Drosophila melanogaster: one gene and its partners. The protein of the gene in region 1 interacts with the protein of each later gene in a pairwise test. Each region holds a gene or a part of one and is shown in the gene's direction. Other genes may lie near its edges.

Evidence for each region.
Region 2: the proteins of Vha36-3 (region 1) and CG42299 interact in a two-hybrid assay, tested with the Drosophila melanogaster proteins (one large-scale study listed by BioGRID).
Region 3: the proteins of Vha36-3 (region 1) and Ire1 interact in a two-hybrid assay, tested with the Drosophila melanogaster proteins (one large-scale study listed by BioGRID).
Region 4: the proteins of Vha36-3 (region 1) and CG13838 interact in a two-hybrid assay, tested with the Drosophila melanogaster proteins (one large-scale study listed by BioGRID).

The regions. Positions count from the first base shown.
Region 1 is NC_004354.4:2,576,911-2,584,375, reverse strand, and holds Vha36-3 (vacuolar H[+] ATPase 36kD subunit 3), read left to right. Parts: upstream 1-3,815; 5' UTR 3,816-4,161; coding exon 4,162-4,202; intron 4,203-4,262; coding exon 4,263-4,380; intron 4,381-4,435; coding exon 4,436-4,799; intron 4,800-4,860; coding exon 4,861-5,087; 3' UTR 5,088-5,285; downstream 5,286-7,465. Other genes in the region: CG13760 (uncharacterized protein), read left to right, coding at 1-84; AANATL7 (arylalkylamine N-acetyltransferase-like 7), read right to left, coding at 650-1,336. UniProt on the Drosophila melanogaster protein: Subunit of the V1 complex of vacuolar(H+)-ATPase (V-ATPase), a multisubunit enzyme composed of a peripheral complex (V1) that hydrolyzes ATP and a membrane integral complex (V0) that translocates protons.
Region 2 is NC_004354.4:15,572,984-15,579,688, reverse strand, and holds CG42299 (uncharacterized protein), read left to right. Parts: upstream 1-4,005; 5' UTR 4,006-4,025; coding exon 4,026-4,080; intron 4,081-4,138; coding exon 4,139-4,632; 3' UTR 4,633-4,742; downstream 4,743-6,705. Other genes in the region: CG7872 (uncharacterized protein), read right to left, coding at 254-1,255; cerv (cervantes), read left to right, coding at 1,800-1,878, 1,924-2,537; CG9213 (uncharacterized protein), read left to right, coding at 5,191-6,402, 6,457-6,705.
Region 3 is NT_033777.3:19,853,688-19,864,827, reverse strand, and holds Ire1 (Inositol-requiring enzyme-1), read left to right. Parts: upstream 1-3,536; 5' UTR 3,537-3,813; coding exon 3,814-3,942; intron 3,943-4,066; coding exon 4,067-4,181; intron 4,182-7,143; coding exon 7,144-7,587; intron 7,588-7,645; coding exon 7,646-7,868; intron 7,869-7,925; coding exon 7,926-9,195; intron 9,196-9,282; coding exon 9,283-9,447; intron 9,448-9,509; coding exon 9,510-10,388; 3' UTR 10,389-10,920; downstream 10,921-11,140. Other genes in the region: CG4572 (uncharacterized protein), read left to right, coding at 658-2,106; Mrm2 (mitochondrial rRNA methyltransferase 2), read right to left, coding at 2,433-3,185.
Region 4 is NT_033777.3:23,038,303-23,044,679, forward strand, and holds CG13838 (uncharacterized protein), read left to right. Parts: upstream 1-3,938; 5' UTR 3,939-4,030; coding exon 4,031-4,306; 3' UTR 4,307-4,367; downstream 4,368-6,377. Other genes in the region: CG13837 (uncharacterized protein), read left to right, coding at 5,688-6,359.

The DNA.
Region 1 (7,465 bases):
GAGTCCATGGACACGGCCCGACGCGCCTACGGCACGGACGAGGACATCATTTTCATATACGAGAAGAAGGAAACTAGGGAGTAGTAGATGGATAAACCAGCGGAACAGATGAACAAATGAACAGATGAATTGATGAACAGATGAACAGAAGTACCTGCCGTCGCCAGGTTGCCAGGTGATGAGAACGGATGATTGGAATCTGCGCTTGTGATATTAGGACTTTAGGAGGAGACCTTGTAGGGGGGGACTTCGAGTGGGAGGTAAGAGAAAAAGCTGTCTGGTTAACTTTGGCACAACAGTGTACTTTATTTAGGTATTGTTAGCAGTTGGTCCCCATACAAAAAAAAACAATTACAAAATTATATTTATGTAAACGTGCCAGGCAGCGTCTACTCGTACATTATAGAGGCGTTCCATTGACGCTCCAAAAACCGTCGACGGAAAGTCCGAAAATCCAATGTTATTTCATAGTTATGTTTAAACACAGAACAATAGTAATTGTTCCCTAGCTTTAACTTTCCGTTAAACGCCCCCCAACTAATTTCCATATTTGTAGTACGAAAACATTCCAATAACGATTATGCAATGTATGTATATGTAGAAAATAAATGAGATTATTGTTCCAAATGTGAGCCAGCCGGGTGACTCCTTAAAGCGACTGCTTCTTCTCATCCTGGTCATCCGCGCAGATCGCCTTGTAGAGCTGCTGCAATTTGATGTGGGGCGCCTCCACGGGCAAGATCACCTTGCCATTCTCATCCGTATACTTGCTGTAGGGTTGCTCCGAGAAGACCTCAAAGCCATGGGAACGAAAGATCTTCTGCGAGAAGATGCCGGTGGCATCGGCCTTCAGCAGGCGAAAGCCATTCTTTTTGGCCACCGCCACGGACCGCTTGACCAGCTCATTCGCAATCCCCTGGCCACGGTAGCACGAGTCCACCGATAGGATGCGCACATCGAACATGCAGTCCACGTCGAAGTGCTCGAAGAGATTGTGCTTGAGATTGTGCCTGTGCAGCAAGTCGAAAATCTTGCGGAAATCTGCATCGTCGTTGCAGTCCAGCTTGCTCAGCGCCTTGGCCGTGTCGCCCGGCTTCAGGATGCCATTGAGGACGACGCCGACTATTTTCAAGGTATCCTTCTCCTTTGCGTCCACAGCCATCACGCTCATCCGGTGCTGTATGGCCTCGGCACAGTGCGCCTCCAGGGCGGGGCAACTGCTGCCGTTCTGGCACAAGCCGGCGGCCTTGTTTAGCGGCTCGTCGGCAAAGAAGTTGCGCCGCAGATGCTCCATCACCTGTTCACTGTGCTCCGGTGCAATCATCTTGTACTCCATGGTGTCACAGCCGCTGCAATCGCCGAATTGTCTGCGGATGGTAAAGAAGATCTATGGGAGGAGCTTATTAATAATATTATTACTAATAGATCTCGATGATTTAAAATATAAACTAAATTCGAATGGTAAGTACGCATTACATTACAACCGTACATTTAAGCACTATTAATTTTTTTAATTTTAATTTTCGTTTGCAAAAGTCTAGGTACATACATGTGGGTACTCTTTTCCTATAACTCAATTAGTCGCAACTCTCTGCCTGTCCTTTCAACTCTCGACCTCTTGCCTCTCGCTCGCTCCCACTGCACTTTCACTATTCTTTGTGTTGCCCCAATGACACACCCCCAACGAATGCCACCCCCCCTGCGAGAATAGCCCACCTAATCCCAGGCACCGCGACCAAAGCGGTGTCATCCGTGGCCAACCGATTTCGGTGCTGGATTTTGTTAGTTAGTTCCACTTACTCAGTTCGTCTGTGGCCAATGGGATCGGGATCGGATGAGCTGGACGGCGGGCAGAGGTGCGCTGTTTGTTTTGCTCGACGAAAAAATGTGTAACCTACTTGCGGGCGCTTTCAGATGCGAAATGCGACTGGAGCAGCTGGAGCAGCCGACCAAGCGAAGCGCCAGCGACAGCATCCCGTTAATACACATCGAGAAAATACTCAGACCAAGTTAGACTTCTAACTGCAAACCAATGAAAATTGAAATTACTTCGCATTCCACGTAAGTGTAGCTCTAAAAACCTTTGGGTTTCAATAGTATTTCACACGTTATTTGTAGGTCAAACCACTCCAATTGACTTCAAATTTTCGCTGCGTGTACGCCCTCGTGTTTGCCTCATTGCCGAAGCATGAGAAAAATGCTATCCTCTGGGATGGGTTGAAATTAAAGTATGGACAGGGAGCGGGGAGCTCGTATCCTTCGAGTGACAGCCATGCGTATACGCAACATACGCACACTGGAGCAATGGGAGCGATTGCCGCCTGCTCGTGACTTGTGTGCCGAAGTACAGTGAAATCGAGAGTTTCCACCGCCCCAAATGCGCCACGAAAAATACGTGTGGTATACGCACCAACTGTTGATTCCGCCGCACAATGTGAGCCGCACTCATATACAGATTTTGACTCTCGACCAGGACGAGAACGTGACATTACCACCATTAAGTAAGTGAGGGGGCAACCCGTGTTATCCTTTGATTATATGGCACAATATGAGAGGCGGAATGAATAGTTGTTGTCGCTTACGACTCAAAAATAGGGTGTTGAATATGTTCTAAATTGATATATGTTATAACTATTATGTATATGTGTATGTACATGGTATGAAGACGAATTTCCTAGGTAGTCAGCATGACCTTGCCTCATCGTGAAGTCTAGACAGACACCAACTGTTGCTTGACCAAAAATGGCCACCCACTTTGACCTTTCTCGCCGCGTAACTAACTCCCTGCTATGCATATTCATTACGTTCATTAATTATCAGCCCAGTTTGCTATGACCAATTGTGGCGAACACGTGGCCTGGACTGCACTGAAAAGAAATCTTTCTATCTTTTAAGTCGAAACCAATCCGATGCATAAAATAGTCGAATTACTTGGTAATAGTTTCTGAATCTTCAATAATTTCTCGCTCTGCACAAAAGTGCTGAAAAGACGACAATTGGACCCGTATTCAAATTGCGTGTCTCTGCTCCGGATGATGGACGAGACGGTATGTAGCCATGACCGGAGACTGAGATCCGTGGACGTCCAAATTGATGGAGTACAAAAAGGTATAGGCATAGGCAGTGGTGACGCAGTGCGTTTAGCTGCGTGTGGCTATTGCTTTTTGTTGTCCATCATTGATGGCAATCAGATTCAATTGAATTCAATCTGCCCTAACGGTCAATATCGAGTGACTATCGAAGGGAAGGCATCACTAACTGACCTTGAAACGGGGAATCCCAGTGGCTCTACCACGCCATCCCGGATGCTTAAGGATCTGTGGTGCCAACCTCTTGAAACTCATACTATTGATGATGGTGCCGATTTGGGTTTTTGAGTGGGATAGTTAATTTCATAGCGTACGAATTTGATTCAAAAAAGTTTACTAAGTGCCAAACAATGACAATGACATGTTGAGAATTCACCCAGCCATGCCATCGGCATAATTTTGGAACTATTACCTTTCATTGTTATGAATCTGTTATGAATACGAATAATTAATTTATTTAATGGCATAAATAATTGTTACTGCTGACAGTTTTCCATTGGTTCACTAGCATTCAGTTTAGAGTGTTTGCGCTCAACCCCATCGGATACCTTTGTCTACTCTTTGTCTAATTTATTTGTGATATATTTAATTATAATTTATTATATTTTAGTATCTCAAGTGCGCATACCAAGTTTCATATCTCGAACCTCAAGAATCGCCGAGTTACAGGTGTTTGCGGTGGGGACATACCATACTCATCATCGTTCGCCGTGGGCGACAGCTGTTCCGGAACAGCTGATGGGCACGAATCGAATCCCGAGCCCCCCCAAAATCCCTCCTACCACAACCAATCGGATCGGATCCGATCCGATGCGATGCGATGCCTACCCAAGATCGCCGTTCTCTCGCCAGATCCGCTCGATGAGTCTTCATTCGCTGGCCCAGTTTGTCGTCGTGCTGTTCTGTCCGCTGTAGCCCCACTTTGTCGTCTATTTTATTTTCGTTGTGTCGCGTATATTTAGTAAATATTTTGTTGTTGTTATTTATAGTTTAGACTTGGTTGGCGTGGTGCGTGTTGTACTCTTGTTTTTTTTAATAATTTTTTTGGGTAGCATATATTGTTTGATTTCCGATGGCAGCCAAAGACCGCCTGCCCATCTTCCCGTCGCGCGGGTGAGTAGTTAATCCTGGCTAAACTCCCACAACCCAATAACCCTATACACCATGTTGTAGGGCCCAAACGCTGATGAAGTCGCGTTTGGCGGGCGCCACCAAGGGACATGGTCTGCTAAAGAAAAAGGCGGATGCCCTGCAGATGCGCTTTCGTCTGATTCTGGGCAAGATCATTGAGGTGAGAGCGTGCTAACTATATGCGGCGTAGATCCTATCATACCCATTCATTCCAGACCAAAACCCTGATGGGTCAGGTGATGAAGGAGGCTGCCTTCTCCTTGGCCGAGGTCAAGTTTACGACCGGCGACATCAATCAGATTGTGCTGCAGAACGTGACCAAGGCCCAGATCAAGATCCGCACCAAGAAGGACAACGTGGCCGGGGTAACGTTGCCCATCTTCGAACCCTACACGGATGGCGTGGACACCTATGAGTTGGCCGGCCTGGCACGTGGTGGCCAGCAGCTGGCCAAGCTGAAGAAGAACTACCAGAGCGCCGTGCGCCTGCTTGTCCAACTGGCCTCCTTGCAGACCTCCTTTGTTACCCTCGACGATGTCATCAAGGTCACCAACCGGCGAGTCAACGCCATCGAGCACGGTGAGTCACACTAAATCGCTTGAAACGATACACCTCTGATATGAATGCTTCTCCTATCCAGTGATCATCCCCCGCATCAACCGCACCATAGAGTATATCATCAGCGAGCTGGACGAATTGGAGCGCGAGGAGTTCTACCGACTGAAGAAGATTCAGGACAAGAAACGCGAGGCTCGCAAGGCATCCGATAAATTGCGAGCGGAGCAGCGTCTTCTGGGTCAAATGGCCGAAGCGCAGGAGGTGCAGAATATCCTCGACGAGGACGGCGACGAGGATCTGCTCTTCTAGACACACGAACAGCACCCACATGTGTAACCAGCCCCCATCCAGTACTCCACCTGACCTGAGCCCAATTATCACTCAACTTTGCTACCTCACTTCCCACCAAAAGATCACCTCTCGTTATTGTTGTCGTTCGTTGTGATCCCCGGATGTTGTACCACTTGTCGTTTTCTTGGAAATACAATCCGTAATCGTAACCTTTGTAAACGCCATGTTTTGTGGTTTCTATCGCCAGCCAACTGTTGTGTTTGTGAAATCTGTAGTCAAGTATTCAGTAAAGGTGACAAGTATTCAAAAGGTAGGCAATTAGAGTGGTCATCAGAACCAAAAGTAGGGTATCCCACAATCTTCGTGTGTTGAATACTATCCCACACACTATCTGACCCGTATTATTCATACGGGTCATACGGTATTCATTCATTCATCAAATATTCATTTGATGATCCATCAAATCATCGGATTAAGCTGCTTATGGGATGAAATTGCCAATTTAGCCATGCCAATTGGGGGATTCACGAGCGGCACGTGCCTATCCAAAAAAAAAAAATTAGGCAAACCTAATGGATCCCGAGCCCGAGTCCGATCCCAAATCCAGATGAAGAACGTAGACGATAGCCGAGTGCAGTTTAGATGTATGCATATAAAATCATGTTTATTCATTTTCCATCTAGCCTTATACACGTAATAGTTTGACATTGACGACCACTGGGGTTCTGGTTCTTAGGTTCCTCTCTTTTTAAATTCGGCTTGAATTCTTAGTTTCGAAATAGCGTGAAGCGAGTAGGAAACCAAAACTAAATGAAAACAAACACGATTCCACACACAAGATATTCCATTTAAAATGCATTGTAAGCTTAAAGCTAGGGTGATGAATATTCGACATTCGCACTGATCGCAGATCAGATGATGTGACATCGTGATTCCTTCAATCCGTTTGTTTCTGTTTGTTCCTCGTTACCATTCCATGTGCTTTGTACTCTCGTTATATGTGGTATACATACATATCTATGTACATATGTATATACTCGTATTATATGTACGAACTACTCTCCGACATTTTTCTGCTGCTTGCATCCGTGTAAATAACAGGTATGTAAATATGTATGCTTTATCTATGCTCTTGTAAATACCGTTACATCTATGTATGTATATTGAGCTTATTTAGAAAAAAAAAGATTAACAGTTACATTCATCAGCGCACTTCTTACACATGTGCAAAAAAAACTGTGGCCCAACTGCTGTTGGTAAATATACAAAAATATAGGATATATGTATGTATGCGTGTGTGTGTGTCGTGTATCGATCGATATCCGACTTATCGAACTCGCTTCTTGCAAAGAGAGCATACTTCGCGGCATTTTAGTTTTAGTTTAAGAACAGTTGCGCCTGCGGATGGGCGTGAATATTGTGTTTCGGTGTGTGTTGTTCTGAGTGTTGCTGGTGTGAGCGGTAAAGAGAGCGAGATGCACTAGGCTTTCGGCATTTGTATTTGATGGCTCTTTGAAATCGCTTTGGCTTTCGCCTTTGACTTTGTCATCGTCGCGATGGTTGCAATGGATGCTATTGTTGTTTTGGCTGCCGTTGTTGTTGTTGATGTTGTGGTAATTGTTGTTGCTACCGCTGCAAGCGTCGACGTCGGCGGCATTTGCGACGTCATGAATATTTGCTGCGTCTTTTGCGAGCCCGGCATCACACATTTGTCCTGCGAACGAAAGGCGAGAAAGAAGAAAAAGAAAACGAAAACGAGAAGAGTCCGCCAAGAGAGCCGCATTTTGAGTGGGAAACAAGGAGGAGAGAATAGCCGAAAAGATATTTATTGCATTTATGTGTCTCCGATTATGGACCCCATTAGTTAAATATCGATTGTGGCAAAGTTTTTGTTGCACAACAAAGCGCAGCTAGCAAAATTCAAGGCAGTTGCAGTGAACGTGATCGATTGTAGCTGGCAGTGTGACCAGCTCAGGAACGGAAAGTGTAAGCTAATCAAAGTGGTAAAGAAAATGTAAATACAAGTAAACCCAAATCTTAAAACTTAATAACGGAATCCGATGAACAGCAAGTTCAACAGTTGATTAAAGGTGAGTTCCTTTAAACAATGTCACTTTTCAATTATGTTATGTAATAAGTTCTAATGGCTCACAAAGCCTGGCCACACTGCGCAGTTACCGCAAGTTTGTGTTAATTCACTTAAATATTTCAATCTAATATTTAAATATGAATAGTAGAAGTAAAAGAACATGCCGCTGAAGTTTTGCTGAAAAATTCATCGAGTAAGAACCGTGTGCGAGTGTTTTTGAATGTATTTGCGTGTCCAGAACAGAAGGTGACGCTATTGGAAATTTATTGTCATCAAAAATATTTTGTAAAACTTGTAGGGAAATTTG
Region 2 (6,705 bases), about 13 Mb from region 1:
TTCTTGAACCGGTTTTGGCGGATCGCTCCGGCGGGGTCAACGTTTCGCCCTTTGGCGGACAACACCGGGACATTAACATAATTCATATTGATATAGTTGGTGTACAAAAAATTTCTAAATATATATATATAAATGTATCAAAATTTAGACGGTATGGGGATGCCGAGGGCGAGGAATTTGGGATCGGTTTTACAACACGCACACAACAGACTTTTAGATGGAACAATGAAACTTGAACATCGCAGAGCAGCGGCTAATCCTCAAAGGTGATGCGGCCGGGTCCGTGGTTCTTCATGTATCGCCTGTACGCCTTGTATCGTGGATTCTCCGCCAGCTTCTTTTTCATCTCCTCTTCCTGTTCTGCCTTCCAGGCGACGAAGTTCTCGCGCTTCCACAGCTTCAGATGCAGGTACTCCTCGATCAGCTTGTCCTCCTGCGCCTCGAACTGATGCTGGCCCATGCCCAGGTGCCGGCGGATGAGGTAGAGCTTCTGCTCGCGGCCATACGGCTGCTTCATTACCGTGTAGCGCCAGAACCACTGAGCGTGCCACACGATGAACGAGAGTATCGTGTAGGGGCAGATGATCAGCTGCACCCACAGCACATCCCAGAGTGTCGGCTTCGCATAGCCGCCCTTAACGTCCATCTTCTCCTCGATCACCCGCCGGATGATCCGTTCCAGCTCATCGCGCTGATCGTTCTTGGACATACGATTCTTGCCCTTCTTCTGGATCTTTTCCTGGATCTCGTCGCGAGCTATTTCCAGGGCCTGGTTCCTATACTTGGGCACCGTGGCAAAGTACTTGATGGCAGAATCGTAGCGCTGCCAGCCGGAATAGTACTGGATGACGGACACAATGGTTAGGACGACCACGATAACCACGCGCACATCCACCTTGGGCGCCACGCGTCGCCGGTAGTAGCGATAGTAATGCGCATAGTATGCATCCGGGTTGTCCAGCATGTAATCGTAGTCCGTGCGCGACTCCTCATCGCGCAGGATCTCGTAGGCGGTGGCCACCAGCTTAAACTGCGTCTCCGCCGCCGCCTTGGCCTCGGCACCCCGATGCAGATCTGGATGATAGCGCCTCGCCAGCTGGCGGTATGCTTTGCCGATCTCCGACTTGGACGACTCTCTGGTGACGCCCAGCACGTCGTAACAGTTTTCCTTGCCACAGTACAGGCCCTCTAGCAGGCCCAGGGCCATCGTGGGCAGCAGGGCCAAGAGCACCAACCGTAGTCCGTGCGTCCGCATCTTGGATAGCGCTTTCACCCTGGGGACACGTGTAGCTGCAGCTGGGGCGCACAGCTGGCACTCGTTGGCTGGGATCGGATCGGAGCGGATTGGTTGTGACTTGGATTGGTCCGCAGCAACTGGTGGCAGTGGCGGTCGCGCTGGCGCTGCTCGTCCGTCTGCTCGGCGTTTGGCACACTGAAAAGTTGGCCGCCGCTCGTTATCCAGGTTGACATTGGCCGATAACACCGATAACCGCGATAGCTCGCGGGTGGATAAGACCGTATGTTGGGGATATGGTCACTCTAAGTTAACTCATTTTACATTTTATTTTAGAGTCGCTAATTTGACGCACATTTATTTTACTTAAATTTCAGGCATAAAATCCATGCTTATACACCACGATTATTAACAGTTCGCCAAATACCGATTACACCCTCGTTAGGCTGCCTATCGAACTTATCGGTCCTAGCTGAACCTAGCTAAGCGTCAGTCTTGAACATTTGGATCCAAATATTCTGGATTTGCAATTTGCAAAGCGTCTGCATAGAATCTGGGCTTTAAAATGGACTTCAATTACCATGTGGATTCGGCACTTACCACTTTATTGGAAAACCAAAAGTTCTTCAAAGAAATGGCAGAAGGTAAGCCATGCGACACACTGAGACATCTTTAAAACCTACCCACAGTCGTGTCCGATTTCAGTGATGGCAGGGAGATCCAGAAGTTGTTGGACCAGAACGTGGATCTCGCCGAGAATCTCATCCGAATGAAGAGCAAGCACCAATTGCTCAGCAAGGCTATGAAGCATGCCAAAAACTCTAGCAACACCATCGAGAAGTTCGAGGAAGTCTGGAAGGAGCGCTCCGAAGCGGTGGAGCAGAAGCGCATCGATGTCAAGAACTCAGCCGAGTTCAAAAACTTCATGAAAGCGGCAGCTCCCCAGGCGGGTGCGGAAACAAATGGTCAAGCGAATAGCGCCGCCCATGACGAGGACCTTATCATGGAAGCCACCGGCGGCGAGGTCTTCTCGCTCTACGATCCCTGGTCCAAAGCCTTGATAAAGAACCCCGTGCGCAACAAAAAGTGCGGCCACATCTACGACCGCGACTCGGTGATGCTGATCATCACGGACAACATTGGTATTCGATGCCCAGTGCTCGGCTGTCCCAACAGGTCCTACATCCATCCAGCGCACCTGGTCAAGGACTCCAACCTACAGCAGAAGTTGCAAGAGCGCATGTCTGACGCGATCGAGAAAGAAACTTCCTCGGAGGAGGACGATGAACAGGCAGATCATTAATTATGCGCAACTTCCTTCTTGTCGACTAATAACGCAGCGTAAGATATCACGTTCTTGTAAGACAACCATTTGATGAAAATTTAAGGTACAACGAATAAACATGTTTTAAAAATAGTCCCGAAAAAATTTAGAGAAAATATATTAGAAGTGCAGTATGCACGTATGTATATAGTTTGCGATTTATTTAGAAAATTGGTACAAATGTAGAAACAAATGAATATATAGCACGATTGCCATCGAAATCATCGCCGAAACATTCTAGCGAGTCTTTGCCGCAGACGATCCACATCAGACTCATATGGCACCAATGGCACCTTGTCATTATCCGGATCGCTACTATCTTCAGAGGAGATCCAGACTGATTTACCATTGCTAAGCTTCGGCTCTGAATCCCCGCAAGCCATGGGGTCCTTCAGCATGGCTGCTTCCTCATTGTTTTTGGTTTTTTGCCGGAAAAAGCTTCCGGCATGGGTGCCTTGGTCAATGGGCCAGCTGTTGGCGACTTGCGCTGGAAATCTCTACAAATAACGAAGAATCTATCGGGAGCGGTGAACGGAATAATGAAATCGGTGAGCTCTATGAAGAATCGTAGGACTTCATTGTTTCGTTTAGAAAACCTATCAACTTGTATGCGTAAAGCATTTTCTTGAAATGGTCATCTTAAAAATGCTGTGCTTTGCAAATAGTTAAGTATTATCCGCTCGGATATGTGAATCAACTGAGGTCCTCACGCCAAATTATAAATGTGACTTGTAGACTGCAAAGTCATCGCCTTCTTTTTTGAGTTCTTGACACAAGCAAAAAGGGTTGCCATGGCGTTGTCATGCCCTTGGAGATAAAACCTCTAGACTCAAATATTCTTATTATGTTCCGCTGACATAATAAGTATTAGTGTTTTTATTTCATAATAAATTATGCAATTTACAGCATCGGAAATTGGTAGCTTCAGTATAATATTATCAAATATATTCAGTTTTATACCCGTTACTCGTGAAAGGGTATAGTAGATTTGTTAAAAAGTATGTAACTGGCAGAAGAAAGCGTTTCCGACCATATAAAGTATATATATTCTTGATCAGGAACAATAGCCGAGTCGATCTGATCATGTCCGTATGAACGCCGAAATCTGAGGAACTATAAAAGCTAGAAGGTTGAGATTAACCATACAGATTCTAGAGACATAGACGCAGCGCATGCCCATATTGCCACGCCCACTCTAATGCCCACAACCCAACAAAATAAAATAAATAAAAAACTTCCCCATGTTCAAAATTCTACCGATCCGCCATCTGCACTAACTGACCGACGCTAACTCACCTACGCTAACTTGACGCACATCACGATTATTAACGGTTCTCAAAAGAACGATTACACCCTCGATAGGCTGCCTGTCGAAATTATCGGTCCTAGCTTAACCGAAGCGTCAGTCTTGACATTTCGATCTAAATATTCTGGATTTGCAATTTGAAAAGCGTCTGAATAAAATTTATGATCAAAATGGACCCGAAATCCCACCAAAAGCTCTTCAGGGAAATGGCAGAAGGTGAGCCATGTGACAAACCGAGACATCTTTAACATCTTTAAAACACACCCACCCACAGTCGTGTCCAATTCCAGCGATGACGGGGAGAAGTTGCTAACCAAAAACTCTAGCAACACCATCGAGAAGTCCGAGGAAGTCTGCAAGGAGCGCCCCGAAGCTGTGGAGCAGATGCGCATCGATGTCAATAACTCACTTGAGGACACGAACTACATGAATGCGGTGGAATCAGAAGCTCAAAAGAATATCGCCGGCCTTGATGAGGACCTTATCATGGAAGACTTCGGCGTCGAGGTCGTCCCGTTCCACGATCCCTGGTCCAAGCTCCTGATAAAGCACCCCGTGCGCAACAAAAGGTGCGGTCATATCTACGACCGCGAAACGGTTTTAATGATCATCAAGGACAACATTGGCATCCTATGCCCGGTGCGCGACTGTCCCAACTTGTCCGACATCAAGTTAGAGCACCTGGTCAAGGACCCCGACGTGGAGCAGGAGTTGCAAAAGCGCAAGTCCGACAAGATCAAGAATGAAACTTCCTCGGATGAGGACTAAGAACAGGCAGGTCATTAATTATATATAAAAAGCGCCTTTAAACTTTAGATTTTAATATGACTTCAAGTCTTGTTGAGAATTAACTTTATAAATAAAAAACACTCCTTTGGAATTTTTTGATACTTTTTTATACCCGTTGTAAAGTTAAAGGCTATACTAGAATTGTTGAAGTGTATGTAACAGGAAGATGGAAACGTTTCCGACCATATGAAGTATATATATTCTTGATTAGGATCAATAGCCGAGTCGATCTTTTCATGTCCGTATGAGCGCCAAAATTTCAGGAATTATAAAAGCTAGAAGGTTGAGATTCACCATACAGATTCTAAAATTAAAATTAAATTAAATTTATTAAATTTCGCTTTCGCATTCACACTAGCCGAGTAACGGGGAATTTGACTATATCATTCTCTCTTGTTGTATATTGCAATCAACTTTTCAATAGTGAGTTAAGCGATATGTCTGTTATTCAGTAGTGACTTAAGCGATATCACTGTTGTGCATATTTGTCCATCTCTAACACTAATGTTTTGGTAAACAAGAAGAACCAAATTAGACATGAGCTACATACAATTTGAAAGCGGCAGAGAAAAGGATAAGGCGCGCCAGGAGCTCCGGGAGGCCCGGGAGGCGATGCTGCAGCAGGCCAAGGAGCGGGCGGAACTGCGTGGGCAGCGGGAGAGGCAGAAGGAGCTGCGCGGCGAAGCCGACTGGATGCTGCCCGCGTTGGCCAAGAAACTGGAGAAGCCCGCCAAAAAGTCAAAGAAGAATGTTTCCAAGCACAAGTCCAGGTCCAAGTCCAAGTCATCGAAGAAGAGCAGGAAGCACCGCAACAGCAGCAGTAGCAGCGAAAGTTCCACTTCATCTTCCTCCTCGTTCAGTGAGGATGAAAAGGAGCGCAAGCGACGCAAGAAGAAGTCCAAGAGGAGCCGTAAGGAAAGCGCCAGCGAGGACGAGTGGGTGGAGGCTCCTCCGCCTCTCGCGGCGGACAATGTCACTAAGAAGGAGCCCCCTCAGCGGGACGACTGGATGACCAGCGAGTCTCTCCTTCTGAAGACGTTCTCCAGGGAACGCAAGGAGCCAGCGAAGCCCAACGAGAAGGCCCAACAAATTGATGCCTACGATCCGGCCAAGAGTGGCCGTGAGCTCAATCCCTACTGGAAGAGCAATGGCACGGGTCTGCCCGGTTTCCAGAAGCCACAGGACGACGATGAACGGCAGGCCAAGCCGCATTCCAGCAGCTCCGCACAGGGATCCTCACGCGGTTGGCGAAAACCAGGCGCAAAGGCTCCCAGTCCGCCCAGAAGAAGCAGATCCCGCTCCAAAAGTGCCACATCATCTGATGAGGAGGAGGAGGAGGCGGTGCAGCAGCCCAAGTCCAGACCATCCTGCCTCACAGACGAACAGATCAATGAGCTGGCCGGCAAGGCCATCAAGGCAGAGCTCAAAGGAAAGAAAGAACTGGCGGCGGAACTCAATCAGCAATTGGAGGCCGCACGGAAGGAGCGAGCAGAGTTCATTGCCTCCGGCGAGTCAGTGCGGAATGCAAATACCAGGCCAGCCAAGTCCAAGGCCTCAGCAGAGCACGTGCTGCTCACCAAGGTGGACCAGAGCGGCAACGTGCGTCCGCTGGTGCAGTCCGGCGATCCGAACGAATCGTACGGTGGCAGGATGGGACCAAAACGCGGCAGCAAGAAAGTGGACACCCACGTGGATGGTCAGCGTGTAAGATACTTTGCCGATGATGACCGCTACGATATTAAGCAAATGGTAAGTTCAACTTTCAAAAGCAAATACTAAATAGTAACATATTTTAACCTCCAGTTCGAGCGGGAAAAACACGCCACAGCCGCAGAAGTCAATCTCCAGTATGCCGACATTGTGTCCAAGCACAAGAATCCCAACGATGACTTGGATGACATATTCGCTGATAAGGTGCGCAAACAGATCTCAGCCAGCGATGCTGAAAAGCGGGAGATGCAGAGCGCCATTAGGGAGCACGAGAAACTGGTGGCCACGCTGGACAACTGCGAGCGGTGTTTTGACTCCGCCAAGTTGGACAAACAGCTGCTC
Region 3 (11,140 bases), on another chromosome or scaffold:
ATTGTTTGCTCAAACTTTGTTTGGCGATGGAAAATCAGCTGCGGCGCTACTACAAATTTTGACGCAAAATGCCCTGGCCTTGCCGGACTGCCGTTGTATTCGATGTTGCCAATTGTTTGGATTCTAGAAATATGAATGCCTCGGGAACGAGAATTTCTTACCATTTGAAGTGAGAAGAAATGGTGATATAAGCAACAAAACAGAACATATATAGGTACTTTGGAGACTTTTATATCCCTGGTTAAACCTTTCAAATTCAAGCTTTCATTTATTTGCGAAAAACTAAACCAATATAGAGTTAGTTGATGATTATTTTTAATAATTCCGACAAAAGAACTACTTGCAATCCATAACTCAGAAGTCGCTCTTAGTAAAAAATCACAGCTGATAAATTCGCTTCACTTGACAACCCTACCGTTTGACCGGTGCGGATACACTGAAATATCAGTGCTGCTCAATTGGGAAAGCTAAATTTTTTCGCCGGCTGTGCGAATAAAAGCAAGGCAAGTGAGAGAACTGATTTAAACCCCTTATCGGCCGATTCGTGAGCAGGTCGGGGCGATAATAAGAATATAAGAATACATATACATAAGCTGAATAAGCAAAGCAACCACTGACAATTCGATCGCTTTTCAGTCGAATCAGCGCAGTTGAACAATGAAAACTGCAACTCATTGCGCATTTTTAATTATCGCGACTATAGTCGCAATAAGCGGAGCAAAAGGAGTAGAGGGGGAACGCCCCTACAGGCGGAGCTTCATCAATCCGTATCCACGCTACCAGTTCTTTGACGATGGTGTCGATCCCGGGGAGCCCCTGTTCCTGACGCCCCTGATCAACAATGCTTCGATGAGCAAGCAAGAGGTTCAAAAGCTGGCCCGCGTCGTAGGCTCCCAGTTCCATGGCGTTGAGAGCTACTCCGGCTATTTGACCGTGGACCCTGGCTTCAAATCCAACATGTTCTTCTGGTACTTCCCCGCCGAGCAGGAGCCGGAATATGCGCCAGTGGTCCTGTGGCTTCAGGGTGGACCAGGTGCCTCCTCGCTCTTCGGTTTGTTCACAGAGAATGGACCACTAGAGTTGGATGGTCATGGGAAGCTTCAGAAACGCAACTATACCTGGAGCAAGACACACAATCTCATCTACATTGACAATCCCGTGGGCACTGGCTTTAGTTTTACAGAGAACGATGCCGGCTATGCTACGAACGAGAAGGATGTGGGCCGCAATCTGCACGAGGCTGTGATGCAGCTGTACGAACTCTTCGAGTGGAGCAACTCCTCTGGTTTCTGGGTCACCGGCGAGTCCTATGCCGGAAAATACGTTCCCGCCCTGGCTTACCACATCCACAAGGTACAAAATGCCATAGAGACCCGCGTCTATGTGCCGCTCAAGGGCGTGGCCATCGGAAATGGTCTCTCGGATCCGCTGCATCAGCTGAAGTACGGTGACTATCTCTACCAGCTGGGCCTGATCGACGAGCACGGACTGCAGAGTTTCCACGATGCCGAGGCAAAGGGTGCTGAATGCATTAAGAGTCACGACATGGAGTGCGCCTTCGACGTATTTGATTCCCTAATCAACGGGGACCTTACCAATGGCTCACTGTTCAGCAACCTTACTGGATACAACTGGTACTACAACTACTTGAAGACGCATGATGATGATGGCGCCAACTTGGGCGAATTTCTGCAGGCGGGCGCCACTCGGCGGGCAATTCATGTGGGCAATAAGACATTCCATGATCTGGACAAGGAGAACAAGGTGGAACTTCACTTGAAGAAGGATATCATGGACTCGGTGGCCCCGTGGATAGCCGAACTGCTGGCCCACTATACTGTGTGCATCTACAGCGGGCAGCTAGACATTATTGTTGCCTATCCACTGACGCGCAATTATCTCAACCAACTAAAGTTCCCCGGCTCGGACAAGTACAAGGTGGCTCCCCGCGAAGTGTGGCGCGTTGGGAAGGAAGTGGCCGGCTATGTCAAGCACGCCGGACATCTTGTGGAGATCATGGTCCGCAATGCCGGGCACATGGCTCCTCACGATCAGCCCAAGTGGCTGTACATGATGATTGATCACCTTACTCATTACAAGCACTAGGAAATGCGTACTTAAACTATTCAGTACAATTTGGAGACCAAATTTAAGCCTTTGTTTTTAAAATTAATCATGAATAATTTGGTGTGAGTTTTGAATGCATAAATATGTTGATGAGAGCATTGGGTTGTTAATACTCAACTAAATTCATATAATTTGTTACAGAACTGTATATAACAACAAAGATTAAAACATCAAAAAGAAAATCAACAAAAATGTTGAGATGAAATTAATCCTAGGTTACTTCCCTTTAGTTATTCTATCCAATATAAGCTACAGTCAATTAACAAAGCTTTTAATTCAACTAGTCCAAAAAACGCAGTTAATAATTAACTATCCGTTGCTCCTTTAAAGTTCCTGGCCACCAGGAAGTGCTCGGCGGAGTCTCCGCGGCTAGCGCGCGGTTTTACTCTCTTCACTTTCTCATAAAACCTAAGCATATCTCGCTCCAGCTTGGGCACGTCGCCATTATCCCACACCTTGACCACCAGATGGGCCTGCGGAGCAGACATGGCCAGGGCAAAGCGCAGCACCTCGTAGCAGAGGTTAGTGATGCTCTCCTGGTCCAGCATCCTCACTCCGGTGGCATTGGGTGCCATATCGGACAGCACGCAGTTGACCTTTCTGTCTTGTAACGCTTCCCTCAGCCGCTTTTGTGCCAGCGAAGAAGTGAAATCCATGCCGCCAAAGATTGTGGCACCCGGCACAGCATGGAAATGCAACAGGTCGATGCTAAAGACGGCTCCCTGTGGCGCCCGCTCCTGCTTTCCGTTGGCATTGGTCCGCTCCACGGCCACCTGGGTCCAGCTGCCAGGAGCAGCTCCGCATTCCAAAACTGTGTCTCCGGGCCGCAGTATTCCGTATTTGTCGTCGATCTCCAGTAATTTGAAGGCACTCCGGCAGCGATAGTTCATCATGCGGGCCTTCTCCACGTACGGATCCGCCAGTTGGCGCGTAAGCCACTCCTGGGAGCTCTTGCTCCGTCCTTTGAGGTTCCGCGGCTGCTGTTTGGCATACTTTCCGCCTATTTCCGTGTGCAGCAGGCGTTTAAAAACACAATTACCCGTAAAAACAAGACGCATTGTGTAATATCGAAATTAGATCGCCTATCGATTTTTATCGACCAAAGTCAATACAAGTTCTGGGAAGTTTACACTGCAAGCGCAGAAACTCCAAAGCTCACATTATATTACCACGTATATGTTACAATTTTATCCATGTTGGAATAAAAAGATCTTTTCACATTTAAATTGATTTTATGGCAACAGCGATGGGTAACAATAAGATTTCCATTGCTGCCATCTCAAGCGTCAGTGTGAATGGGATATTATTTCGTTGCATATTTGGCTCGTTGCGTGCTCCCTGGTCACACTTCAAACCAGTACGGTCTTTTCCCAATTATCTGCCCACTGTCACTCTACTCCGCTCACTCGACGAACTCTCAACTCAACAATGGCGAACGTAATTGGAAAATATTGAACGCGAGTGCGAAGAAAATGTGAAATTTAGCACGGCCAGAGCTGCAACAGTGTTTGATGATTGAAAAGTTTTGAAAAAGAGGCGATAATATGCCACAAACAAGAAACGAAAACTGACTAAACGTGCAAACTGAATACGGATCGGAAATAGCAGTAACTAGTTCCCTCTCTCTTTCGCTCTCTTTTCTCTTCTAATACCCCCGCCCCGCGCCCTACCGGTTGCAAAAACAAAATGAGATTCTGCGTTGTTGTTTGTTGCGTGTTATTTTTGCTGGCCAGCGGGCTTATTGCATCAGCTACAGCAAAATCACAACAGGGCGACTCGGCAGAAGTCGTCAGCAGCGGCGAGGATGAGAAGACGGTAAGTGGGGGCGGCACTGGGCCGTATGACCCACTAAGGGCTAACACTGGACTACCAATGAATATTTCATCACCTTGCCCGATATGTTGTTCATAAGTTTCTCTCGCTCTTCCACAACCCGCAGGACTGCACGGACCTCGCCCGCGACGAGGAGGCGCTGATGGTGTTCTCCACACTGGGCGGCGGACTGACAGCCATCGATCCGGTGACCAGCGAAATACGCTGGACAATAGCAGATGGTAATTACGCGGGCACTCCGCTGTCCTCCACACTCACTGCACCCCTATTTTCCGGCCACAAGTGTGGGACTCGAAACATATGATGGGCAAAGAAGGGTCCTTATTATCAAAAGTGGGAATTTTCCAGCATATATCTCGGGAAATGGGTGTTTTTAGGTATCTAAATACTTTAAAGATAAAAAAACAATATGGTTTTGTTATTGAAAACATTCGAACTGGAAGCACTAAGATCTTTCATAAATGCAAAGTCAGGAAAATTTAATTGTTACCGAATGCCACATTAAGAATATTTTTGTTTTGTTTATTGTTTTGCTCATTGAAATGTGAGAATGTTTCTTTAGACCATTTAACAGCTAAATTTAAATCGTTTTATTTGCGTTTATTGTTGTTTTAAGCTAAATCTAGGAGTCTTTTTTTTTTAGGGAAATTGCCGCTTTATTTGCATAGTAGATTTAAAGATCTTAAGAGATCTAGCTATATATATATATTTATTCCCATGCTGTCACCACCCCTCCTGGAAAATTGCCACTTCACCAGGCTGTTGCACTCGCCGTTTGAAGTGCGAAATGCGTAGCACATGCATGCGCTCGATGAGCTCATCGCAGATTTCGTATCTGCCAGATGTAAGAGCCTAGGATAGATCTTTCCACCGCCTTTCGTGCTCTATTATTTTCACTCTCGCCATTAATGTTGTGTATTGTGCTGCGGGCCTGATAAGGTCCCGCGTCTAGCGCAATCTCGACAAGCGTTCTCGGCACACAATTCCACCAATTAAGTTGCCAGCCAGTGCGCCATATCACCAGTTGCTGTTCCCCCATACCCTTTCCGCAGTGGGTGGTTGGGACTTTGAGCCATTTTCCATTCGGTTCATTGAATATTCCCATAATTTCTCAGCGTGACGTATTGATTTTCGGTGGCTCTCAAGTGCGTTAATCTTGTGGTCATTTGGCTGCTTCGTATTAACCTCTGAGATTAGCTGGCATATATAAATGAGTCACCAGGAGAAAGATGTTAGTAAATTGCGCGATTAAAGGGGTTAATGTGCATAGCTTTCGTTTGAATTGGTGCACTTGTTGGCTACCATTAGTATTATTATGTTTGTTTAATGTGTATAGCATTCAATAGATCACTAAAATGGGGCTTCACTTATCTAATTAAAAAGTGAGGGCATTTTCAATTCGAATTATCGAATATTGCTTATAAACCTGGTGCTATTTTTATTTTCACTGGCTTTGTTGATTGATTTTCCACTTCAGAGCATTCATATTCGCCTGATAAGTAATGCCTCAAGAACTTCCTTTAATTACTCCCCAACTAAGTATTGGAGTTATGCCAAATGACTCTCTGTGGACAATACGCCCTCCACATGTTTGTTTAATTTCTGAAATAAAAAACCCACGCCCCGTGAAGATTATTTTATGTGATAGCTGCAATACACATGTATGTCCATTCGTATTATTAGAAATTTCATGCTGCCCGCTTGTCGCCGGGCTTCGTGGAACTGCAAATGATTGAAAATTCAGGGAGACAAACATGTGGACAGCATCTGACTAGCGGTTTCATGGCAGAGCGCACTATTTGGGCAGTATTTTTCCGAGTCATTCAAGCCAATAATATGTTTTTGATTCGCGGTAATTACACTGTTTCGCCGGCTCTAGCACAGCAGATCGGTGTACCGATTTGTTAGGTTCTATTACCTCATCACGAGACGGAATCAGGTTTTGTCTACGACTACCGCTAGGCAATTAGAATGCTCATGCTAATGAAAGTGCTGCGGCGAGTTAAATGACCTGCCCCAGAAATTGCGGCAACATTCGGTTAATGCCGGGAATGTTTTTGGGGTTGCAACTAATTATTGATAAGAATGGACAGTACATCGAATTGTTTGGTTTCATTACTCGATATTGGTTGACGACCATCTTTCCTGGCAATACTTGAGTTTTGTTTAAACCATTTCGTCAATATCGTGCATGCGATGATGGTCTCCATTTGCATTCGACAAAGTCAGAATTTAACGCTGTTGCCTCGCGCGAATTGTTGGCGATAACAGAAAGAAATTGCCAACACGACTGGCGTAAACACTTTGGATTTGATCAGCCAGCCATGGGTCCCCCAGGTCTATTTCGTATTTACCCAACTGCTGTTTGCTTTGGCTTTGTCTGCCGCGCCAAAAAGCCGCTTAATTTATTCGGGCCTTTTGGTGGAAAGTGTTCACGTTCTTTAATGTGCACCAGAAAATGTGCTCTCCGCTTGGGATGGGGTTAATGTATAGATTACATTTTCGTTCCCATCGGTATAAGTATGTACATACATCAGGAGATAAGCGTTATCGAGAACAGGTTCTGGTTATAATTTATTATATTTCCCTTACTTTACTCCACGTTAGTTGCACCGATATCAGGAACTTTTTATTGGAATTTGTTTACTGTGCACACTTAAAATAATTTACTGCAAAAGGGGTTCATCACTCTAAATTGAAAAGATAATAATAATAAGTATACTTGCTAACTAAAGCTGAGTATTGAATAATAATCTGGAATTCAGAAATTTCTGCTTAAACTAAAATTTTTAATTGATAACAGTGGGATTTTTTAAAATTCGTCAAAAATAGACATGAAATGTTCATTACTAGTTAATACTGGGTAATAAAAGGAAATAAAAAGAAGCAAAATAAAACTAAAAATATTGTTATTGCCGGCTAGTCAAATGTGTTTTTGGCGCGGAGTATATATATATTAGGTTATCTTGTCGTAACAAAACAACTTGTAATGAATTCGATGCAGTATGCGATTTGAAAGTTTAACACCACTCGGAATACATTTTGTGTGATTTTGCATATATTGTGCTTTTACATGGATGCAAAGGAATCGGACTTTATCACGATTTCGAATTTGCAATCATGTTTATTACTTTGTTTTTCTTTTATGATTTTACTTTTAAGCTATAATTGTATTTCTTTTAGATCCTCCTATAGTAGCAGAACATCAGGAGAATGTTCAGGTTCCGCACTTTCTGCCCGATCCTCGAGATGGCAGCATTTACCAGCTGGGTCAGATGGGCAGTCTTAAGAAGTTACCGTACACCATTCCCCAACTGGTGGCCAATGCTCCCTGTCGTTCCTCCGATGGAATCCTGTACTCAGGGAAAAAGAGCGACACCTGGTATATGGTGGATCCTAAGACGGGCAGACGCGAAAAGGTTATGGGCTTTGGCGATGCCACAGTGGATGGTAAGGAGGGCGAGCAGATCGGCTGGGCCACTTCGCGGGCCATCTATCTAGGCCGGACTCAGTACACGGTCATGATGTACGACAGCCTGGCTAAGAACAAGGATGCTAAGCCATGGAATATCACATTTTACGACTACAATGCTGTGAGTGCTCCTCCTGAGCTGGCCAAGGAATATGGTAAGTGCATCTCATAATATAAGAGTGTACACATTTGCTTATGATCTCCCGCACGCAGAGTATATACATCTGACCACCACCACCAATGGACAAATTGTGACTCTGGATCGAAAACACGGTAAATTTCTGTGGCAGCGCGATCTGAGCAGCCCAGTGGTGGCTGCATTCCTTTTGGGACCAGACGGGCTACTCAGTGTGCCATTCACCACGGTCTCTGATGAGGCTTACCAGGCCATCCTCGAGGAGTCGAAAACAGGAAATGTGAACACCGTGAAGCTATTGTAAGGGACATACGATATTCGTCCTGAATTCCATATTAATTGTAATATTTTCAACAGCCAATCCCTTTATGTGGGCGAACATCAAAAGGGCTTGTATGCCCTGCCTTCGCTGGTGGACAAGAACACGCCTCGTATTTCCACAGCACCACCTATAAAACTCCTGGATGGACCTACAGGAGACCAGAACAGCAACCAAGAGACAGATCCGCGCACCATTTACATTAACGATGTGCTGCAAGAGCATGCAGGAATTATGTTGGGACACTACAACATGCCCAATGAGGGTAATGGTAACCTGCAGCTGTCACCGACGACAGCCAGCAGCAAGGTGGTTCAAAGTCTGGCCACCATTCACAACTATAACGATGGCTACGGCCTGTTGGCCAATAATGAAAAGAACGCCGCCGACATTGGCGTGCAAACGGATCCCGAGCTGGTCGAAATTGGCATTGATCAGCGGACGAATGGGAACACCATTAATCGGACGAAGACAATAATACTGCAGAACAGCAATAAGGTGCAGGCCTTTATCAACGAGTGGTTTATGGAGCATCCTAGCGGAAAGGTGCATCAGATTCTAATTGTTATCGTTCTGGGTATGATTGCCTTGTTCTGGTACACCTGCAGCACAATGAGGGAGCTGCAAAAGCAGAGCGAGAATGGTTCAAAAACCTTTGCCATAGCCCAAAATGGATCCAATGGAAGCACTGGCAGCAATGGTAGCAATGCGAACGCTGAAGACCTAGTGGACTTGGGTAATGGACAAGTGCGTGTGGGCAAGATCAGCTTCAGCACAAATGAAGTGCTGGGAAAGGGCTGCGAGGGTACTTTTGTCTTTAAGGGCACATTCGAGGAACGTTTCGTAGCCGTAAAACGGCTGCTGCCCGAATGCTTCACCTTTGCTGATCGCGAGGTGGCCCTATTGCGAGAATCGGACGCGCACGAAAATGTGGTGCGCTACTTCTGCACCGAACAGGATCGCCAGTTCCGCTACATAGCCGTCGAGCTGTGCGCGGCCACTCTGCAGGACTACACCGAAGGAGATCGCTCGCTGGAACTTCAAAATCACATCGATGTTTGGCAAGTGTTGAGCCAGGCTGCATCTGGACTTAGTCATCTTCACTCTCTCGACATTGTGCATCGCGACATTAAGCCGCAAAATGTTCTTATTTCTCTGCCAGACGCCAAGGGCAAAGTACGTGTCATGATCTCCGATTTTGGGCTGTGCAAGAAGCTGAATTTTGGCAAGACTAGTTTCTCACGCCGATCGGGTGTAACAGGCACCGATGGATGGATAGCCCCAGAAATGATGAGATCACAGCGAACGGTACGACATGATTTTTATTATTACCCTACACTACTTCTTCACCATCACAAGAACTTTCTAAAATCGATGTCTTTCAATTATTTACAGACAACTGCTGTGGATATATTTTCCTTGGGCTGCGTTTATTATTATGTTTTAAGTGGCGGTCACCACGCCTTTGGTGACAATCTGAAGCGACAGGCCAACATACTCTCCCACGAATACAATCTGGCCAAGCTGCGCCCAGAGGACGACAGTGAGGACAGCCGAATTGTAGGTTATCTTCACCAAAAAGTTATAGCTAGTTGTTCTAATTACTTCATTTTATTTTAAAGATCCTTGCTGAGCAATTAATATCGGATATGATACACAAGGATCCGCAATCGCGACCTCCAGCTCGTTGTATCGGAAATCATCCGCTCTTTTGGGATGAGCCTAAAATGCTCTCGTTCCTCCAGGATGTCAGCGATCGTGTGGAGAAGTTGCAATTCCATGCTGAACCGCTCAAGTCGCTGGAGAAGAACGGGCGGATAGTCGTTTTAGACGATTGGAATGTCCATCTGGACCCCATGATCACGGATGATTTGAGGAAGTACCGCGGATATATGGGCGCCAGTGTACGAGATTTGCTCCGTGCTCTGCGCAACAAAAAGCATCATTATCACGAGCTAACGCCAGCCGCCCAGAAGATGCTGGGCTGCATTCCGCACGAATTCACCAACTACTGGGTGGATCGCTTCCCGCAGCTCATTTCACACGCCTACCACGCGTTCAGTATTTGCTCAAATGAGCCGATATTCAAGCCTTACTACAGTGCCGGCTATCTTTTTACACGTCCGTGGTACTTTGATGCGGACGATGCGCTGTTTCCCATGCTGATGCTGGATCCCAAGCCCCTGCCCAAGATTGGTAGTCCTAAAAAGACACCTTCGCCGGCAAGCAGCCAAGCTCAGCAGCTGAAGCAAAGAAAAGGGCTCTACAACTTTCGTAAGCCCAACGATGAGCTGCCGATTCCTGGCGTTGGTCTGCAGCGTAATCTAGAGCTAGATGGACAATCACTGGAGCCCGATGGCAAGCGGGATGTGTTTGCTAACTTTAAGTTTCGGCGCTACTCGAAGCCGGGAAACAATCGCAATTACAACGGTGGGCACAAGGAAGCGCAGGACAAGGAAAAGTACGTAATCTGGACGCTGCCACCTTCAACGCAGGATTAGGGCATAGACCCAACCAGATCAGATTAGACAAGCTTTAGTTGTAATCATTTATTAAGATAATTATTTTAATTTAATCGTGCAATTTGTGTATATGCAACTATTCCAAAATGATTCCCAATTCAGTTCTTAGCAAAAATATTCAACGGTAAGTAAACAAATGAAACTATTTTGTATACCAAGTAAGAATAATGTAGTGTGTCTTCTGTCGAATGCACGGAATTTAACTGTGATAATTTTTGATTTTGTTCAATGCCCAAGTGCAAGTTGATCTAGACAAATAGTTCGAGTTTTATATATAGTACCTAGACTTATTGTATATTTATGCATTAGTTAAGACACACCTACCTATCCCAACACTCCTCCCATTCGTGGAGATCCTTGACAAGCGAAGTTTTTAGTTTTTATATCTATTATAAAAGCACTTAGTTCTACAGTTCAATAATGGAATGTTTCAGTTGATGAATAACTTGATGCTTGGTAACGAGCTGCATTTTCTAAGAAATCATAATCTTAAACGAAATGAAAACTAAATAAAAATTTAAAACAAATTTTACAAAACAATTTTATTTGCACTATACATTTATAAAAACAATGGCAATCAAGAGCCGATTTTAAAAATGTTCTCAATATTTTGGCTACAAGAGATGGGTGCTTAGTTCGATAACAAATTCATAAATAACAAATATAAAGGCTATAGCTATACACGAGATTTTGGTTCTTTAGAAGAAAACTTTGTAACTAGAACTTTGTTT
Region 4 (6,377 bases), on another chromosome or scaffold:
CCGTAAAGTAAATAAATTAGCCGGTCGTGTAATGCACAAGAATCCGTAGGATCGAAAACATTCTGCAACATGACACTCGGCCAGGATTCGAGGAGCTACCGCATCAGGATGCTGCTTCGGATGTGTTTGTTTAGGTGCAAGGATAACGCATTCTCACGCCTGCCGGGAGCAGCCAAGCAACATGGATGCCTTCTAACCCAAATCCACTTGAACCCACACTGACAGTCGAATGTCATAATTCAGCGGCGGGAAAAATGCGCGGCAGGTTGCCAGGATAATCAAGTTGCAGCTCCCGCTGCCGCTGTTTGTTTAGCTGAGGTTTTCATTTTCCCCATTTTTATTTTCCATTCATTTTTTTTTTTTTATAGCTCCCGAAGATTTTATTGCCGCCCGGGATGGGATAATCCCTATTGACATATTTATGCACGGTTCAAGCAACGAAATGGAAATTTTTGGCGTCGCATGGCTCGCTGGCATTTGCCTTTCGCCTTTCACGGGGGCGTGGCAACGAGCTAATGGGCACCACATGTAAGTGTCTCTAGGTGAATGAATTAATGTCCCGCCTCCAGAAATGCTCGGAGTTTCACACAGAAAAAATGGATGTTATGAAACTAAAAGGGTATCTAGAAGCACAAAACTCACTTTCTATGTGGGATTGTTGTAGTTAGTACTTCGAGTACTTTGAATTTTCTTCCGTGCAGCAGCATTTCCCCTAGTCTAAGTTCGAGTTCAAGGTGCAGCACATGGCTGTCGAGCTGTGTGGGAATTATCTAAGGAAAATACGTTACGGCGGGCGGCCAAAACACCTGTGTCAATGCCGGCAGATCGGGCGTTGCGCTGCTTAATTCTTGTAATTAATTTTGCGTGCCACAGACAGAGACAGAAGCAGACTCGCACACAGAGATAAACACACAGACGGCGGAATGGTGGAATAGGGACAATGGAGGATGTCCTGATGCACGGCATTAACTGAGCATGCAAACGATGCGTCAACGATGGTACTCGGCCCAGGCAGCTAACGCTATTATTTACACAACAAACACTTGTAATTACACAAAGGGCGGCGGCGGTGGCAGGAGGGTCCTGCAGGAGCAGGACGGAGCCGCAATTAAAAGCGAAAGGATAAACACAAATAAATGAGCGACACAAAAGGGGCAGACACGGCAAAGACAACTCGGCTGTAGCTGACTTGGCCCACTGCCACTGCCAGTACTGGCTTCCACTACTGTTCGGGCCAAGACAAAGGCAACACTCTGGGCCCAAAGACAACAATGACAAGCGGACGGCATTAAATAATTGCTCATACACGAGTGTTACGCACAAAAGCATTTAGAATGGCACTGGCCGAGGCACAGGAAGTGAAACAGGACGAGCCGAGCAAAAAACTGTCCAGCACGTGTTGCAGCTCGTCTCGGAAAACCCAACCATGTAATCCCAGCCAAGCCCATTCCAAACCATCCCAATCCGATGCGATTCCAAGCGCCTGCCGCCACCTTTTCGGCTTCGGTGTGTGAAAACTAGTTAACAGCTTTTATTTACTTGGCAAACAGACTGAAACGTTGTAAAACAACAAATGCTTAAGCCGCAGGATATAAGCATAACAGCACTCACCAGCACACACGTCCTTCCACTGCGGAAAAAAAAGAAGGGATTATTATGATGAATTGCATGCACGTCAAGATTTGTGCTTAAGAAAATATTGAGCTAAGATGCAATCTTGAGGATTTACACTTTGAAATGGGTATTCCTAATTATGTTATGTTATATATATCATGTAGACAGATGGTTAGACCAAGTAAGGCACCATTCCAGTTTGTTCCAGTTTGTTTTCTTCAATAATTTTTTGAATCTTCCCTAATAGTTTCTTGCCGTGTATGCCACTCGGGGCACGAACACGACCAGCTTGGTCAAAAAGTCCACGTTGTCCGCTGTGGTCAGCGGCATGGAGAATGGAGACGACGCTGATGGAGGCGAGCGTGCAACTGACTGCGGCGCTCGGACATCTCATAACCAAAGTGAAAAGTTGGAAAACAATAACGGGCAGCGATGCGGGGCACACATGTCCTGCCTGAGCAATCGCCTCCAAAGCAGTGTCCTTCGGCCAGGATGGCCACAACCAGTGCCGGCAGCCAGGGAAGAGGCTACACAGCGTGACAAAGTTTATGGACCACAATGGAGCTGCAGCTCACTTAGTATTCTCCGCTCGGATATAAGCTCGGTAAGGACATTCAACGTGGCACAACGACCAGGACTACTACCACACACATAAATTATATGCCTTTATTTGGGCAAAACAGTGTAAAACGCAAATGCAACCTGATGACAACAACAGGCTGCGTTATGCAGCAACAACAGAACCAGAAGAAGCCGGACCCAAAGACGTGGCAACAATGAGACTTTTCGGCAAACAAACGAGGCAAACTAAGAGCGCTTTTCAACTAATGACGACGAGCAGTAACAAAAACGTTTTCAAACTGGGCGGCGGCAACAAGTTGAGCCGTTTAGATTTAGAGCTTGTAAAGTGTGTGCGGAAAATTCAATAACCAAGTGATAACAACCTCAAGAACAGATCCAAGTTAACCCGCTGGAAGACCAGGAAAATCCACACAACCACTCGAGCTGAAGGATATCGGCAGGGTAAATGCACAAATGCATATGCATACATAGATGTATGTGTATGCGTATGTAGGCAGGCCGGAGAGATGACAACAAAAGCCAGCTTAATGGCAATAATAACAGATTTTAGCCAACCACAAAGAAAACGTCAACAGAGGCATACTTTTTGGCCACCATGCTGGCAGCAGCAGCAGCAGCAGTTCGGTTAATGGCAGGAAGTTCACTTCACAGCCAGGACGACACATCCTTGCAGCAGTCACTTTGAATGAAAATTCATTAAGTGAAAATGCCTAAGCCAGCAGATGAAACAGAAAGGAGCAGCAGTCCATCCTCTTAATAGCCGAAAAAAAAGACCGCATCGTTGGACAAGCAACCACATCCATCAGCCGGCCGATTGGCTCAATTTGCATGCAATTAAAAATAAATTGAGGCACCTTGTTCTGCGGCTAAACTAAATAGTGGCACCGCATTCGGTGGAGCCCACTTCCAATTTTCAGTACCAAACTGGTGCGGGGGTGGGGGGGAACGCGACCACCGCAGTATGGGGCCAAAAAAATTGATTTCAACTTCGGTTGCCGCCGCGTATTTATAGGCTGAATTGTCATTTTCTCCTCTTTTCTGGTTGCTGCATTTTTTTTATTATTTACTTCAACCCAATCCTGAATGCTAACAAAGAGTTCTCGAAAGGAGAGCGTAAAACAAACAAATCACGGACCGATATGCACACATAAAAATTCATAAATATTCTATTTTGAGTTGACATTTTGACAAGTGAATATGAATATTGCAGTCGCAGCGCACAAATTTATAATTGATATGTATAAATAATGGACAAAGCCATTTTGTAAATGGGTTTAATGAAATGAACGAGTGTAGCTCTTGTAATAGCTCGCCAATTACAAACAAAGCAAAACAAACAATAGTCGAAAAAGAAGAGTGGACTTTCTGGTGCCCTGGGCGCAAATATTTTTCAAAACATTTAATTTATTGTATTTGAAAAGTTGTAACGATTTTTCAAAAATATCCTCCTAAAATGGCAAGCAATTTACTTTCATTTTTTTAAGCAATAGACTTTAATAAACGTTTGATGAAAAAAAAAAATCATCAAGTTCACCCATTTAATATACCCCTTAAATCTCAATTTACAGGTGCCATCGCTTAAATAAAATATACTTAATATTTCACATTTGGCGTTAAAAGCAAAAGTACCCAAAAGCCAGTTAGCTGCAATTACAATTAAATTAAATTGGTTTATGGTAAGCAACTTTAATTATGTTCGATAGCAAAACAAACCAAGTCAAATTTGCTTTACACTTCGGATCGCATGGCACAAAATAACACCGAAAATCATGATTTAGGGTGAAAAAAATTTAAATTTAAATCGAAAGTTGTTTTCCCAGCCCTTAAAGCCCAGATGGACAGCGCCGATGAGCAGCTGCAGCTGGATCTGGACAGGATATCGATGGAGAGTCGCCAGGCCAGCAGTTTCGATGACCTCATCGAGCTGACCAACAACTCGGAGCGTCTGATGGCCAGAGTCAATTCCAGCTTGGATGACCTAAACACCGCCCTCGACAACCTGGAGGCTCGAACGGACCGGGTTCTGGTCGAGATTCGGAGGCTAATCAGCTCGGAAATGCCGGCACAAGGTCCGCACGATGGATGTGGCGATCCAGATGCCAGGGCGTAGGCGGGCGAATGGCTGTGATACGTAATGTGATAATAAATAAATGTATTTTATTTTCATATCGAAATCAATTGATGCTCAACTGCTCATAGGAATTGAAAAGTGATTGGTCGTAGCTCTTCTTCGGTTTCGAATCGAATGGGGATCGAAAACTTCGCGGGGGCATTGAGGCCATAGAGGCAGAAGATCCATAAAACGCCCGACAGTTTGTTTGTTTTTTATGAGAACTGTAACCCTAGCACACAAATAATTAGTGAGCTATTTTTATGGATCTTCGGATGCGGGGCTGCGCATGCGCAATGCGCATTGAGCAGAAGTATCAAGGTGCTGGGGGTCTTCATCCACAATCTTAATTAGAATTTACATACATTTTCAATATGCGTGTGTGTGTGTGTGTGTGTGTGTTTTGTATTTGTGCACATGTTGCACTGCATTTGAAGATCTCGTCGTGCACTTAATCACTTGAGCCGTCGGCACCATATGGGGTCCTTTCTTTTACTTCTTGTTGTCTGTGCCCCGCGGCATCTGGTGCATGGTATATGTAGTAGACTGAGCGGTATAACCTGTTAATCAGATATGCAGATTGACCCAAAAATTATGCCACAAAGCAGCTGCTGGGCGACAGCGTTTAATTGACAATTAATAAAACTTTTAATTTGAGCCCAATTGGCACATTGCACATTATGGTAATGGTAATGGTAGTGGGGTAGCATGGTAGTTGGTCAATTGGATAATGCCCACAGATCCCAGCCATTTGCACTGGTAATTCTTCATTAATCGGCTACGCAATCATTTACGTAAAGCGCAGAGCCACCAAACCTAATTGCAAGTTATGAATATCTCATCGGATATTAAATCGATGGCCATCGCTTAACTCCGACCAGCAACGACCACGATGACGATGGAAATAATAATGAGGATGACTGCGATGAATGGATTGAATGGCCTGAATGGTATCGTTCGACGACCATCCATCCGTCCGTTTATCCGTCCATTTGTCCGCTTGTCCGTCCGTTTGTCCGCTTGTCCGTACGGAAGTGGCGACACTTAATTGCGAATTGAGTGCATTTTCAATTTTTATTGAACCGGCGCCCAGTCGAGCATTATGCTGCGGTGTGGTATCATTAAATACTCGGTTGCTTTGCTGCTGCTGCGAAGTATGCTACGAAAATGCAAATTACCGAGACCGCCCAGAGTGGGCGTGGCAGTTACTGCCATGTGCTCATTAGCGGTATCTACCAGACGATAACCAGCGTAGTAATCGATGGAATAACTTGTCTTCTTTATCAGTTGGAGCACATGCAAAAATATACTCAACCCATCATCGATGAAGTCAGTCTACAGAAGTCATCCCGCTATTTCGGTCGTTAAAAAAATAAATGAAATGGGAGCTGTAACCTTCTTAACAATTATTTTGGTGACCTTGCTGGGTCATCGATCCAGTGCCCTGGAGTTCGAAGAGTGTGCCAGTGCTCCACAATTGGGAGTTTATGTCGCCAGCTCTAGCAATTGCTCCAAATACATATATTGTGCCGGTCCAGGATCCTTTGAGGCCGAGTGCTTGGATGGTCATTACTACGACGAAAAATTGGAACGCTGTTTGGATCGAAAGTTGGTGTCGAGATGCCGGGATCCCGTAGGCATAACCACTAAATCCCCCTCGATGGTCAAGAAGCCAGCTCAGAAAGCGGAACCATTGGCGATTACCCTGCGACTTTTACCCAATGCCGGACCATGTTATCCTTATATGGTCTGCTACGAGGGGGCTGGACTGGCCAAGGCCTGTACTCCTGCTCATCTAGTGTCCTGCAATCGCATGCAAACGCGAGAGAATATCATCAACTGCCAGGAGGGAGTCTATGGCTTTATGCCACATCCACGGAACTGCGCCTACTTCTACTACTGCTCCAGTGGCTCCAAGCTGGTCCATCGATGCCACTTGAACTACACTTGGCACTACGAACGGAGGTCCTGCGTCCAGCAGTCCGAGAGGATGTGCTACTCCGAACAACTTCGGCTTATACGAAATAAAATAGGAAAGGCCAACCGGACGTAATTCTAATGTTAGGATATA